Saccharomyces cerevisiae S288C: one gene and its partners. The main gene of each other region encodes a partner of the protein of the gene in region 3 in a complex. Each region holds a gene or a part of one and is shown on either strand. Other genes may lie near its edges. A codon is read from its position in the direction of its gene.

Region 1 (3,366 bases), on a different chromosome or scaffold from region 3:
TCTGGTTCATCCTCCAGTGTAAAGACGACCACATCGACAGGGAGCGCAGTAGCTGAAACAGGCACCAGGCCAGACCCCTCCACAGACTTCACAGAACCTCCTGTGTCTGCTGTCACTAGTCTATCTATTGACTCATACATTACCATCACTGAAGGTACAACCTCCACTTACACAACCACACGTGCGCCAACGTCCATGTGGGTCACTGTTGTTAGACAGGGCAACACTATCACTGTGCAAACTACTTTTGTCCAGCGTTTCTCCTCCCAGTACGTAACAGTCGCTTCTCCCTCCGTGGGGTCTATTGGGATGGGTACTTTAACCGGTACTGTAGGCGTTATTAAATCTGCAATAAAGAAAACAGTTTCGCATAATGAGGCCCAGCATCTAGGTATGAGTTCGTTTACTTCAATTTTGGGTGGGCTATTAACGGTTTTAATTTGGTTCTTATAAATTTTTATTCAGAAATAAACACAAACATATACATATATAAGAGTAAAAATAAAAAAATAAAAAAATTTTACAGGGTTAAAAATAAAGAAAACCATCACTCCTTTTCTATTTCATATTCCATGACAAACTTGATGCATCAGCAATCTTTCTACCGCCGAAGAGCCAAAACGTTAATAATATCAATGCCATGGCAGCACAAATACAGCCTCCAATCAGGTAAACTATACCTAAAAATGGATTTCTACCGCCAAGGTGAGAACCGTGAGTCAAGTAGATTCCCTTCTTACCATTAAACTCCAATACTGGCCAATGCAGACCGATATCCAACTGGTATTCACCCGCTGGCAAAGTATCGTTTTTATTGATTCTGATCAGTTTTGTAATTTTATCAAAAGCACCTGGCCTCATCCAGTTTTGGAACTCTTCCCAATCCTGAATATCAGGAATATTCGTCTCGTTGTATCCATCTGGATACATCTTTTCCCAATATGGTGGAGGTGCTATCTGTGTATAATTGTATTTGGTTTTTTTGTACCTTTTTTTATCAGATTCCCAATTGATTCCTTTATTTGTCAATGAATAGTTGTTAGACGTATCCCCTACATTTGTTAACTGCAGGGGGAACGTGTCGTTGAACATTGAGTTCGCAATTAGGCCACATGGATAGTATATTTTACCATCGGCGTTCTTAGATAGTGGCTTACAATTTATACCGGTTGCATCATGCACCGTCTCATAAGAGGCGTCCTCCCCACGTATCTGATCTTCGCTAAAAGATAGTACATATCTTCTGTGATTGGCAGCAAATTTTTCCAGCACATAATTCAAATATACGTTATTTTTCATATCACTTGGAGTAGTGAACCTGATTTGGCATGTACCTCTTTGTTTTGTGAAGTCATCTGATTCATCATCCACAAACCTCCATTGTGGTGCAGTATTATATGTTTTATATTTGTGAAATACAAATTGCCAATGTTCAGAAGGGATGTCGCTCCATGATGAGGTTGCGTTAGTCATACAGTCCTGGTAATATATGGTTACTTCATCCACTTTGGAGTTCTGTGCTAATATGCACCCTCCTACAATAACAAATACAACAGCAATTAACAGATAAAGAGGCAAAACTGTCCTCGGCGTTAACACCGGGTTTATAGCCGCTAATCTTTGTTGAGTGAATGCATCCTCTTTGGGTCTTCTGTTCTTTGTACGCACAGGCTTTACTTCATCCTCTTCAAACTCAGAAGCATCGACGTCTTCTTCTTCTTCTGGGTTGTCTCCGGACACTATAGCTCCTTTGTCCTTTCTACGGAATACTTCACCAACTTGGCCCAAATCGAAATTTACCATTCTTCAATATTTTACCACCCTCTCGTATTTCTAAAAGGACACTTAATTGTTTTCTGGTCTGTACTGATGATTTAATTTGATCTATTTATTTTATCATCATACAAGATTCCTTTTCTTTAATTTCGCGCATAATAATAATCGTTGGAAAATCAACTGTCAAAAGCCACCAGAACGGCAGACAAAGTTGACACTACAACATTGGACACATACTACCAGAACGCTCATTTGCATTTTGCCACACTTGTACACTAGTTACTGGCACTATCTTGCGGTGGTCACTAAGGCGCACTACACTCGTTACGCCATTTGGGTTTATTGCAGCACGTTCATTTACTTGTCCTCCTGATTTGTTAATACCTCTTGCAATTGCATTAAACATATATATATAATATATACATGTATATATTTCTTGTAAAGTTTTCAAGCTCTTCTATTGGTCTCTTTACGATAGTCCTCATCTACTTAGCCGAGCACTATTGAAATGTAAATGCTGTGATATTATTTGAAATTAATTAGTTTTGAAACGTAGTAACGTAACGCAAAGCAAAAAAGAAACAGGACAAGGATGAACAATGATGCAATGGAGCATACCCTTGGTGGAGGTATACTTACCACATCTGGGTCTAAGCAGAGAAAGACCTCTAAGTTTGTAATGGGTAAATATACGTTATACGAAACCAAAGATCGAATGTATATTGTTGGAAGCAATAAAAGGGAAACCATGTTTCGTATTCTAGAAATTGATCTTACTGTACCCCGTGGAGAATTAACTGTGTTGGAGGATAATGTCTTCTTCACCAGAAATGAAATCATGAATGTACTAGCAAGTTTAGAAGAAGCAACTGAAGATGGTCTACATAAGAAAATTACAGGATACGGTCTTCTGGGATTCATTAAATTCACCTGTTGGTACTATTTAATAATGGTTACCAAGTATAGCCAAGTTGCAGTGATTGGCGGTCATGGTATTTATCACATTGATGGTATTGATATTATTCCTATTACGAACAACTATAAAAAACCTGAAAAAAGTTCAGATGAGGCAAGGCTATTGAATATATTTAAGGATTTAGACCTAACAAAAACCTTTTATTTCAGTTATACCTACGATATCACAAATACTTTACAAACCAATATATTGCGAGAGAAATTAAAAGCGGTTGACCGATGTGATATTACAATACCTTGCGGGATAACCGACTATAACGAAATGTTTGTTTGGAATAACAATTTATTATCTCCTATTTTTGCTTGTATTGACACTGTTTTTGATTGGTTCCAATGCATTATACATGGATTTATTGACCAGGTTAATGTTTCAGTTTTGGGTAAGTCCATATATATTACTTTAATCGCAAGAAGATCCCACCATTTTGCTGGTGCACGCTTTCTAAAGCGTGGTGTTAACAATAAAGGTCATGTTGCTAACGAAGTCGAAACTGAACAGATTGTAACAGATATGATTTTGACTCCATTCCATCAACCGGGAAATGGATTTTTTGATAGTGATCGATACACTTCTTTTGTACAGCATCGTGGCTCAATCCCCTTATACTGGACCCA
Region 2 (3,330 bases), on a different chromosome or scaffold from region 3:
CGCGTCATTTCTCGCCATCCTTTTCTAACAGAAGGAAGGCTTCTTCAGAAGATCCTATGGGTACACCTTCTTCAAACGGGAACACACCGGAGTACACGCCTGCGAGTAAATCGTTTCAAGATATATACAATAATCATACAAGCTCCTCTAGCGCGACACCGAGAAGAGCTTCATCACGGCCGACTAGACCTTCAGCAGGCCAAGAATTCAGGGCAAGTCTCGGTCGAAGTAAAACGTCGAACAGTTTCAACACCTCCAGCACGCCAACGCCGCCACCAGACGCAAGTAGTGGAGTAATGGCAATGAAGGACAGACTAAAGAGACGCAATAACGATTATGGATTTTAAATAGCACTATACCTTGCTGAAATAAAGCGAAAAGAACATTTAATGAATATATAGGTATCGTATATGTACTGAATAAAGTGTTTGATACAGAATGCAAGGAGATAATATAGTATGGTATATAACCTCGTCCTTATTTTGAATATACATGAAATTACAACGCTTCCCTAGAGACCGAATCAAACGCAGGGATTTTATAGTAAATGATAATCAATCATAAAATTTCTCTCAATGGAATACTAACGACACTACTCTCATCGAATGGGGTATCGCTGTTCTCAAAATTTAGGTAGCTATGATCATGCATAGGTCTTGGTTTGAAGATGACTTTTATCAGGAATAGTATGGCGAAAAGAGTTGCAATCCCGGCAACAATCAAATAAACAATCCCTAATGCCTCGTTTCCAGCACCGATAATACTGTTTGTGGTTAATACAAAAGATTTTGTTCCATAGAAAGATCTTACTGGGTAGTTGAGTTCTATATCAGCAATGTAAATACCCTTACCTAACCCATTGGTCTCATTTTTCATTGCTAGCTTATAGAAGTTGGGCAATGCAGCAGTTCTCATCCATATTTTGAACTGTTCCCAGTTTTGTAGGTCTGGAATGTTATCGTCAGTGTAGCCATTGGGAAATAACTTGGCCCAATTTGGGGGCGGTACGATATCGGATGCATTGTATTCGGTCTTTCCATATCTGTGGCTGTCGGTGTCCCACGCAATACCTTTTGTGGTAAGCAAATAATCTGCAGTATCGTTTACACCAGTAAGTGTTGTGCCGAATGTATCATTGAACATCGAATTTGCTATCAATCCACAGGGGAATATGGTCTTATTTTCTACCGTCCTTAAAGGGTCACAGTTTGGATCCAGATCATTTCCGATCAATGCTTTTCCTTTTAATTGGTCTAGGTCAAGAGATTGCACATATTCTCTATAGTTTTGATTGAAATTTGTTAGGCGGTAATAAACATAAGTAGATTTCTTGATATGATTTGGAACTTCGAACTGTATTCGACAAGTTTGATTGCCTAATTCAGGATCCGTAAGTACCATCCATTGAGGTTGGACTGCGACTTTCTTACTGAAGTGGTAGTCCACGTACTCGGAGGGAATCGTTTCAAAATGCTTCGCCGGTGCCAATGCATCACATTCTGTGTAGTTTACCACTAGTCTTTGGACACTTATCGTGCTGACCACCAGCCCTATACCAATGGGTGCGAAGACGCATGCCATCAAAATAAGCAACGGCAGTACGCTCTGTGGCGACAAGATGGGCTGCCAGGCTTTGAGGCGCTGTTGTCTAAACGATGTGTTTGCCGGTTTCCTGGATTTTTGAGCATTTTGCTTACTAGACAACTGTTTTTTCTCTTTCCACCTTAATATCAGTCCCATATTGCACAAAAAAATCTAAGTTCCAGCACTTTATTCTAGATGTTAACTATTGATTAGATATCTATTTGCTTTTAACTTGTATATTGCGCCATCCTTCTATCGTTTCTTCAACTATCGCGTGAAAAATAGTACGCAAGCAAATCGAAAAAACTACATAGAGTTCATTGAAAAGAAAGGCAATGCTTCATCTGATGTTTACACAGAATGCTAGAAATTGAAACACCGATATATGATTTATTTAAGTTACACACTACTGACTAACTGACAGAGGAAAGAAAATAAAGAAAAAAAAATAGGTAGATAAGGATTTTGAAAAGAAATAGAGTTCGTTAAATGTATGATGAATAAATGAGGGAAAAAATAAGAGTGAAAAAAAAATCAATAAAAAAAAAAAAAATACCGACACTTATACGTCAAAGCCCCCTTTATCTCTTAAAAAAGGTTCGATGACTATTACTCCTCGATCTGTTGGAGTTTGGAGTGTATGCAATTTTCCCATAAGAATTGGTATTACCATAAATCATTGAATTGTTATCCTGTTCCATCAAACTCATTGAATTGAAGTCATGGAATGGATCATCTTCAGAGACTTCATCGTCGTATTCAACTCGTTCTTCAAACATATTTTTCTCTTGCTCATCGAGATGTTTATGGCTGTCTTGACTAGTCTGTCTCTTCTTATTAGATGATAATTTAGCAAAATCATATCCATCCTCAGATAACACTGGTATCAGAGGCGGTTCTTGATTTCTCAGCAAAGACCATTGGACTTTCTTGAAAAAGGGGTGTTTCTTCACGTCGGCAGCGCCCATTTTGCAACCCAGTCTTTTAGATTCATTTTTTGTCAGTAATTTTTTGATCAAATCCTTACAAGTTCTGGAGATTTCATTGTTATTGGGAAAACTGACCTCATTTTTCAAAATATTCGTAAAAGTTTCATTTGTGTTATCGCCTTTGAATGGAGTGAAACCAAATAACATTTCATAGATCAAAATCCCTAGCGTCCACCAATCGACCGCAGCGGTGTGGCCATTACCTCTTATGACTTCAGGGGCAATATATTCTTCAGTTCCGACAAAGGAATTGGTTCTAAACCCATCTGAGCATATTTTGGTATCAACAAGGGTTGATTGAGCGGAACCCTTGACAACAGGAACCTTGGAATCTTTAGCCTGAATAGACAAGTCGAAGTCAGAAAGCATGATATGGCCTGATTGATGCAGCAAAATATTCTCTGGTTTTAAATCTCTATAGATAAAACCCAACAGATGTAAATATTCTAGTGCTGCTGTCACTTCACTGGCATAAAACCTGGCATCGTCTTCACATATACATTTGGTTTTCCTTGTTTGTAAAGCTCTGAAAAACTCCCCGCCCATACAGTATTCCATACAGAGATACAAATAGTCTTCAGATTGGAACGAATGGTATAGTGTGACGATGAAGGGATGATTGCTGGTGGCAAGAATCTCTTGTTCTGTCAGAACACGTTTGATTTTATTTCTTTTTATCATTTCGTCTTTACTCAAGACTTTCAAAGCATACACTCTATTCGTCTTTTTCTCTCTTACTAAGAAAACTTTACCTACA
Region 3 (7,249 bases):
GTTTGCTATTTTTACCTTTCCTTTCCTTTCTCTTTGGTGAAAAACCGGATCGGATGTAAACGTAAATGCCAATTCAAGGGACCTGTAAGACAAGAGAATGCGAAGCGGTAATAGTGGCAGTTGTAACCATTTTCTAGTCTTTCTCCGTAAAGTAGTTACTTGCCACAATGCCGCCATAGTGCGGAAAACAACGAAATATAATTCCTTGAAGCACAAAACGCCACCCCTTCCCCTTGCCCTTGCCCTTGCGGACGCCCTTTCCCCTCAAAATTTTTTTCATATTACGTCTCCGGCTTCGCTCTCTTACTCTTGGCGCCGGGCGGACCCCGGCAGGAAGGGGAGAACCCAGCCCCTTCCTACTCAAGGCTCTGCGCGGCGTTTTCTCCACACCCCACAGGGCGGGGTAGAGCCGTGCCGGGTGATACACATCATCACATCCTATATGAAATCTATATCATATCACATTGGTATACATAGTACAAAGGAAGAAAAAAATTGTAATCATTAACGGTCCCTGCTGCGCTGGCTGAGCAGCGTCTCTGCATGATTGATACCCGGCAGATCCAGCGAGGCACGTGCTCTTTCCACGGAGTATCTTGTGTCCAGTTGGTGGTTGGCAAGCATCTCTTCTCTTGTGCGATCCAGCGAAGTTCTGAGCTTATTTCCGCGGGCACTGGCCATTGATCTTCTAGGCAAGTTGTTCGTTGTTGTAACGGGGCTGAGCTGGTCACGGCGTTCCAGAGTGGTAGAGACACGGTACCCCTTGCGCGAGCCTTGCTCACCATTGAGTATACTCATTGGTATTTCCTCTGTGACTATGGTCTCTTGTGAGTGGCTGACACCATCAAAATGAGTGTCCAGTGAAATGGGCTCTTTGAAATCTGTAAGGGGACGTATTTCGTTTATTCTGGGCCTGCTAGGGTCCGTAGGGTCGTAGCCTTGTGGGTAGAGGTCAAAATCACCGCGTAACCACATTTCTCTAACGATCTCTATATCTTTCGGATAGAATATCTTTCTGATACAGTCAATGGTGAATCTTGGCAGTAGGCAGAACAGCACGCCAACGAAAAGTACTGCCCAATAGGCAGGTTGTGCGAATACACGCGCCGCACCCTTGTAAAATTCGTTACTTGACGACGAGCTTGTCCATATACCCGTCCAGCCGTAAAACACGGCCAGTGATAGACATATGAATAGGCCACAGAACCAGTCCCATCTATACTGTTCCATGAAGACGTAAAAGTTACATGAAGTGACTGCAATTGCTGTAACGAAGACACCGACAAAGTAACGGTGGTCTAGTCCAAGGCCATTTTCAGTTACAACCATGTTTTTATGGTACGCCAAATAGGGGAAAAAGAAGCATATCACAGATTGGTATACACCATCCAACATGTACCAAAGAAATTTGGTTTGGTTCCATTCTTTTCTTAGGATACCCACACGGTACAACTGTGGCACCAGCATCGAAACGGTGTCGGAAACATCTTGGTCGAGTACTGCTAGTAAAATAACAGGTACGGATGTGAATGCAAGATTGTAGAATGTCAAGTACGTATACTCAAACAAATACGACCCATCGAAATTATTGTAAATACCATACCAGAACAGGGATAGCGTAAAAATAACGTTCTTGTAGAAAAACTGTGGGATCATCTCTGCCAGTCTCTTATAACACCATTTACCATGCACCAATACCAGTCTTGTCACATATCTGAACTGCCCGATGGCATAATCAGAACACATGACAGCTTGTCTGCCTTCTTCACCCGCGATACCAACACCAACGTCCGCCGATTGAATCATGGCTACATCATTCGAACCATCACCAATGGCCAAGGTCATAACGTCTAAGGTCTTTTTTACCAACTTGACCACTGCAGCCTTTTGTGCTGGAGAAACTCTGCAACACAAAACAGCTTTACAATTCTTACACAGTAGCAAGAACTTGCGTCTCATTTCTTCACCATTCAAAGCAACTTTTAGCGCATCGCCATCGATAATGACAGCAAAATTTCCCTGTGGCAAACCATGCTCTCTTTTAGCTTCTTTTAACTCCTCCTCGGATCCACTCATGCCAAATTTTTCCCTTAAGTATTTTGTCACCAAATTGTTAACCACTTGAATAGGGTCACTACCAAATTCTTCTACATCTTCGCCGGAAGCCTTCACAACCAATAATTCCATATCATTGTTCAAAACATTGCAGGAAAAACCAATGTTAATGGCAGTTTCCACTTTATCACCCGTTAGGACCCATAACTTAATACCGGCCTCGGCCAAGAGGGCAATCGAATCAGGAACACCATCTTGTAAACGATCCTCAATGGCCGTACCACCAAGCAAAATAAGCTCACGTTCAATAACGTCAGTAACTTTGTCCAACTCTTCCTCCCTATTAGTAACGGATGCAGCGGCCACATCATAAGTCTTAACCCAACGTTCATACTCGGACCACGTGAGCTCTCTTTGAGCCAAACATAATGTTCTTAAACCTTCTGTGGCATATTCTTCCAAATGGAGGGCCGTCTTTTCCAACAAAGTAGCGTCGTTTTGAGTGCGATCTAATCTTGAATAGATAACGGAATCCGCACCTTTACATATTAACAGTGCTTTAGGTTCATCCTTTGGTGTAGAGCCAGGGATCTTGATAATGCAACTCATCCTTTTTCTCGACGAATTGAATTCAAGTACGTTCAGAACTTGGAACTCCTTTTGAACACCCTGGATCTCTACTATCAATCCACTTTTTGAACTACCAACGAAACTGTACCCTAATTGTCTGGCGGTGGAAACTAAGGCAGACTCATCAGGTGATTGAGCCTTGATGTCCAGTTTTTTAGGATCATCTTTATTTGGCTCCACAAGGACAGAATGACATAATGCGAGCGCCAGCAAAAAGTGTTCACAGCACTTTTGTTGATGGTCGCCACTGGATCCTTTCAAGTCTTCCACAATTTCCTTAGATACAAAAGTTAAATCCTCCGGACAAAACTGTGTATTATCACTCATTGATCTTAATTCGTCGATCATTGTTTCCCTATCTTTTGCTATCTCTTCCTTTTCGCGACGACCTTCCGATTCGACATCAACACCTTGTCTCTTCCTCAGGCCTGCTAGTGCCTCCGTATAGGCACGTCCATAAGACACACCGTTAATAGTACATTTTTTGAATTCCATCACATTTTGTGTCAAGGTGCCTGTTTTATCTGAAAAAATATACTCAATTTGACCCAAATCATCGGAGATGTTCCACGACTTTGGTGTACATGGATAGTCTAGCTTGGCATTATACAACAAAACATCAGTGTAAATGAAAATAGCCTGTGCTGTCTTAATAATTTCCACAGAAATATATAAAGAGATCGGAACCAATGACTGATAAAGAATAACCGCCACCCAAAAAGAAACAAAACCGTTAGTTGAGGCAGAACCTCCAATGGTACCAAATTCAAAATAATCTCTCGATCGAGGTTTCTGTTTATAATAAACACCGTTAACAATACCAGCAGTGAAACATAGGATAAACAATAGTACAAAATTCAAAATCACAGAAAAATTCAACTCTCTTGAAATTCTGGATTTTTTGGTTGGAGTGACACCAGCGTTTATCATAATCTTGGTATCGTCACCAGTAAAAATAACCATACCCATGGCCCACTTAGTGTTTCTCAAGGTACAACCTCTCAATAATAAGTTATTGATATTTACAGGCTCATTTCTGATGTTTCCATTTTGTGTATCTTGCCATTTGAAATTACCTTGATAAGAATACAAGTTGGCATGTGGGCCTTCACTTTCAACCCAAAACTTCGTCCTGGTAATATCCCTTGAACTCTTAATAATCTTGCTACATTTTAATGATTGACGGACCTTTAGATTTGTTTCACCATCCAAATTTTTGGTTTCCACATAACAAGCGCCATCAACATCTGATGTCGATAATAAGATCATATCAGCAGGAATTTCATCGTTATTGTGAACACGAACAATATCACCAACTTTAACATTTTTCCAGTAATCCTTGGCAAACCTACATTCAGGGTTTGGCTGTAGCGTTCGATCAACTAAATTTTCACCATCGTTATACCTGTTAGCCTGTGACATTGTTTGATTCAGGTTCTCATAATCCAAAGAGGGACGACCAAAGTCGGCAGACATTCTGTAACTACCAATTGAATCCAGAGACCCACGTGGCCCAAAGCTTCTCGAGTTCCTCTTCCTTCGTAATTCTTCCCTTTTTTTCTGTAACTTCTTTTCTCTACCAGCAGCAGTGAGGTTTTCTGAAAAATACTCAAAAATTTTAATCAATGCCCTTGTATTCGCTTTCTTGAAACGCCTCCATAAGGAAACGTTATCAACAGCAACATTTTCATTCTTCACCCCGCTTAAGATATGTGTTCTTGTATTATTAACTTCTAAATCCAATACAGTCCTTCTGGAATCTTCGATACCATCCTTAATAGCAGTGATAATTACGATGACAATTAGGGGAACGGATGCAAAACCTGGATTTGTCACACCAAATATTTGAAAAGCACCTAGAATCAACAGTATTAAAAAGTAAATATTGGCAAAATTATGAAATTGGAAAAGAATGTTCTTGGGAAAAAATGTTAATGGAGTATACTTCGTAGTCCTGATTTTATTACGCGGGTAAACTGCCAACGGTAAGCCGTCCTCGTCAAGCATGTCCTCCGGCAAGGGTAAATTATAGTAAACTGTTCTCAACTCATCAGACCTATTTTGCAAGGCTGAATTTTCGAGACTGTCTTCTTTTGTACTGAATTCATCAATAGCATTGTGGAAGTTCTTCTTGGCCCATTTCAATGTTTTTGACCTATTTATATCTATCCTACCTGACTTATTTCTTCTTGTACCAAAACGTACTCTTTTCAACTTATGATCTGCCTGGGAATCATTGTTGCTACCTTCATTGTTATCCAACTCAACATCCTCAAAGCCTCCAGTATTAGGCATAGGTGTTGCCTGGAACGAATGGAGGTCATCATCCACCTCATTTTCGTGTTCATGTATCTCGGTTTTTTTACCATTGAGTTCATCATCATCATTAATATCATTATCGTTACTATAATCATCGATTCCATCAAAAGTAACTTTTGAGAGATCGGGTGTGCTAATATCTTTCATTGGCTTAGATTGTCGCTTCAAAACAGAACCGCCGGTTTTCGCTACTTCAATATTTCCATGCGCACTACTGGGTTTTTCAAATTGAAAACTATCGTCAAATGGTGACATGGACGACAGACCATTAGATGCTGATCCCGATTCATGCTCAATATCATCCACGAAGGGAGAAGTGGGTTTGGAGGGACTTGACATATATGTGTTGAGTTTATGCTATGATTCTTTTTAAAGAATTCTATTATTAAAAGGATTAGGAAAAAAGGAACAAAGTACGAACAATGTGAAAGCAAATAGAAAAAGAAACGGATGGTTTTTTAAACTCTCTCAACGCTCTTGCGTTTAATCAACTCTTTTGATTAATTTGTTTCACCTGAGACTCTGTCACAGCAGAAAGAAGCAGCGAAAGTAATACTAAGAGGTAAACCACCGAGTAAGCGATGAATCTGGTTTGTCTATTGTCTGTCTCTATGCAATAGCAGGTAAGATCAACAAAAGCGATAATAACAAGAAATACATTAAAAACTTTATGATCCGGAATTAAACGTGGACCCTCGAGCGGACTAATGCTTACATTAGTGTAGGACGGTCGATCCCGGCTTCCATGGAACGGTTGAAAAATTTGGTGCGAAAAAAAAAAAAAAAACGAACAGGGTAGGAAAAAGTAAACTAAAACGCGTCTAGTAAAAATCTGGCGTAAAACTAAAGGTAGAGAAAACCATTTTAGCGACGCTACATTTTTGAGAAATGCGCCTCTTTAGATGACCATCTATGGTTTTTGCATTTATCGTAAATTTTTTTTTTTTTGCAGCAGCAGCAGCATAGTAATGATATATATTTATATATTCAGTTGAGAAAACTTATACAGAAATGATCACTCGGGTTTCTTCTTTGCATACAATTTCGTCCATTCGCGAGCCTTAGCTTTGGCACCTTGCTCATTCTTTATCCAATCTTCAGCGACGTCATTAGCTAGCGGATCATTAGGATTAGGGCTAGCCAACAGTGCTTGAATGGACAGCAGGACGGTTCTGATCTGTAAAGCGGGTGACCAATTAGTTTTAAGCACATCAAGACATATACGGCCCAACCTATCAATATTGGGATGATATATCTTGGTTAAAAAACGTACTTTCGGTGCTTCCATTGGATAGTCGTCAGGCAGATATAATTCTAATTCGAAAATACCGTCTTCATATGGTGACTGTTCTGGGCCTTCGATTGTTACTTGGAAGTAACGTAAGTTGTCGTCATGTGGTTCTGCTGTAATGCCAGGTACTGGGTCACTTACTAATTTCTCAGTTTCCTATATGAAAGTTCACAAAGACTTTGCGTTTTCTGCCCTAGTAGTTTGTTCTGTTGAATTCCCTCCATATGAGCGTTTGCGGATATGGACAAAGGGAAGGCGGAACGCTGCTACAAACTGGACAAAAAAAGCCTTCTTGTTTTGGAAGTTTTGCGTTAGTATGTAAGTTCTAGCCATTATCAAGAGGAAACAGTGTAGAGTGTGACGGCTCAGACGAAAACGTCACTTCAGATTTCGTATATAATCCACTGCTCTTGTTTGAACATACCTTGATTATTCTCTTGGGTAATGATGCCATTTCTAACTATGTTACAATGAACCTGACCTTATTTGCTAATATTGGAAAAAAAAAGAACAGAAGAGTGTAAAGTACTATTCTCTATAGAGGTGTTTTGGTTCGTGGTGGCGCGCCATCTTTCAATGAATCACTTATCCTTTGTTTTAAAAACACCATAATTTCGGGTAACAATACGGATGCGGCATAATTAACTGAACTATTCTCTTTGATGGTTTAAAGGAAAACAAATTCCTGTTAGATGCCCATTATATTTGTTCACATGTAGAGAAGGCAAAGAAAAAACTGCTTATTGTACTTTGGTAATTTTTTAAATGATATTTAAAACGTTAGTATTTTCTGTTCCCGCGGCTCCCGCAGAATCTAATCATTAAGCTTGACTAGTATCAAGCTTTTTTCCTTCTTGTTCTGCATTCAAGTATTTGTTGGTAGTATTTCTAGACATCGAAAAGCTTTTTTAGCCCAGAAAAAAAGAGATGAAACGCTTAAATATCTCAAAATTA

Evidence for each region.
Region 1: the proteins of DNF2 (region 3) and LEM3 are in contact, whole or in part, in a cryo-EM structure (PDB 7KY7), measured with the Saccharomyces cerevisiae proteins. Residues at the interface, in NP_010378.1 of Saccharomyces cerevisiae: Arg302 (codon at 4,440), Tyr619 (codon at 3,489), Lys623 (codon at 3,477), Pro624 (codon at 3,474), Arg625 (codon at 3,471), Ser626 (codon at 3,468), Tyr629 (codon at 3,459), Phe630 (codon at 3,456), Glu631 (codon at 3,453), Phe632 (codon at 3,450), Val649 (codon at 3,399), Phe676 (codon at 3,318), Tyr678 (codon at 3,312), Thr679 (codon at 3,309), Asp680 (codon at 3,306), Val681 (codon at 3,303), Tyr684 (codon at 3,294), Asp689 (codon at 3,279), Pro691 (codon at 3,273), Arg1214 (codon at 1,704), His1219 (codon at 1,689), Trp1222 (codon at 1,680), Arg1226 (codon at 1,668), Tyr1248 (codon at 1,602), Tyr1251 (codon at 1,593), Asn1252 (codon at 1,590), Asn1253 (codon at 1,587), Asp1255 (codon at 1,581), Gly1256 (codon at 1,578), Ser1257 (codon at 1,575); in NP_014076.1 of Saccharomyces cerevisiae: Arg51 (codon at 1,653), Arg52 (codon at 1,650), Pro53 (codon at 1,647), Lys54 (codon at 1,644), Glu55 (codon at 1,641), Phe58 (codon at 1,632), Thr59 (codon at 1,629), Gln60 (codon at 1,626), Gln61 (codon at 1,623), Arg62 (codon at 1,620), Leu63 (codon at 1,617), Ala64 (codon at 1,614), Ala65 (codon at 1,611), Ile66 (codon at 1,608), Asn67 (codon at 1,605), Pro68 (codon at 1,602), Val69 (codon at 1,599), Leu70 (codon at 1,596), Val75 (codon at 1,581), Leu78 (codon at 1,572), Tyr79 (codon at 1,569), Ile82 (codon at 1,560), Phe86 (codon at 1,548), Ile93 (codon at 1,527), Glu102 (codon at 1,500), Tyr174 (codon at 1,284), Asn176 (codon at 1,278), Lys181 (codon at 1,263), Phe182 (codon at 1,260), Ala183 (codon at 1,257).
Region 2: DNF2 (region 3) and YNR048W share a complex: the UniProt entries of both Saccharomyces cerevisiae proteins name them as parts of the flippase complex.

What each region holds. Positions count from the first base shown.
Region 1 is NC_001146.8:30,381-33,746, reverse strand, and holds LEM3 (Lem3p), read right to left. Parts: upstream 1,804-3,366; coding exon 559-1,803; downstream 1-558. Other genes in the region: KRE1 (Kre1p), read left to right, coding at 1-453; FIG4 (phosphatidylinositol-3,5-bisphosphate 5-phosphatase), read left to right, coding at 2,369-3,366. UniProt on the Saccharomyces cerevisiae protein: Accessory component of a P4-ATPase flippase complex which catalyzes the hydrolysis of ATP coupled to the transport of glucosylceramide, phosphatidylcholine, phosphatidylethanolamine, and small amounts of phosphatidylserine from the lumenal to the cytosolic leaflet of the cell membrane and ensures the maintenance of asymmetric distribution of phospholipids.
Region 2 is NC_001146.8:710,040-713,369, reverse strand, and holds YNR048W (putative aminophospholipid translocase regulatory protein), read right to left. Parts: upstream 1,741-3,330; coding exon 559-1,740; downstream 1-558. Other genes in the region: MSO1 (Mso1p), read left to right, coding at 1-347; serine/threonine protein kinase FPK1, read right to left, coding at 2,166-3,330. UniProt on the Saccharomyces cerevisiae protein: Accessory component of a P4-ATPase flippase complex which catalyzes the hydrolysis of ATP coupled to the transport of phosphatidylcholine and small amounts of phosphatidylethanolamine from the lumen to the cytosolic leaflet of the trans-Golgi network and ensures the maintenance of asymmetric distribution of phospholipids.
Region 3 is NC_001136.10:629,376-636,624, reverse strand, and holds DNF2 (aminophospholipid-translocating P4-type ATPase DNF2), read right to left. Parts: upstream 5,344-7,249; coding exon 505-5,343; downstream 1-504. Other genes in the region: E2 ubiquitin-conjugating protein UBC13, read right to left, coding at 6,020-6,451, 6,720-6,749. UniProt on the Saccharomyces cerevisiae protein: Catalytic component of a P4-ATPase flippase complex which catalyzes the hydrolysis of ATP coupled to the transport of glucosylceramide, phosphatidylcholine, phosphatidylethanolamine, and small amounts of phosphatidylserine from the lumenal to the cytosolic leaflet of the cell membrane and ensures the maintenance of asymmetric distribution of phospholipids.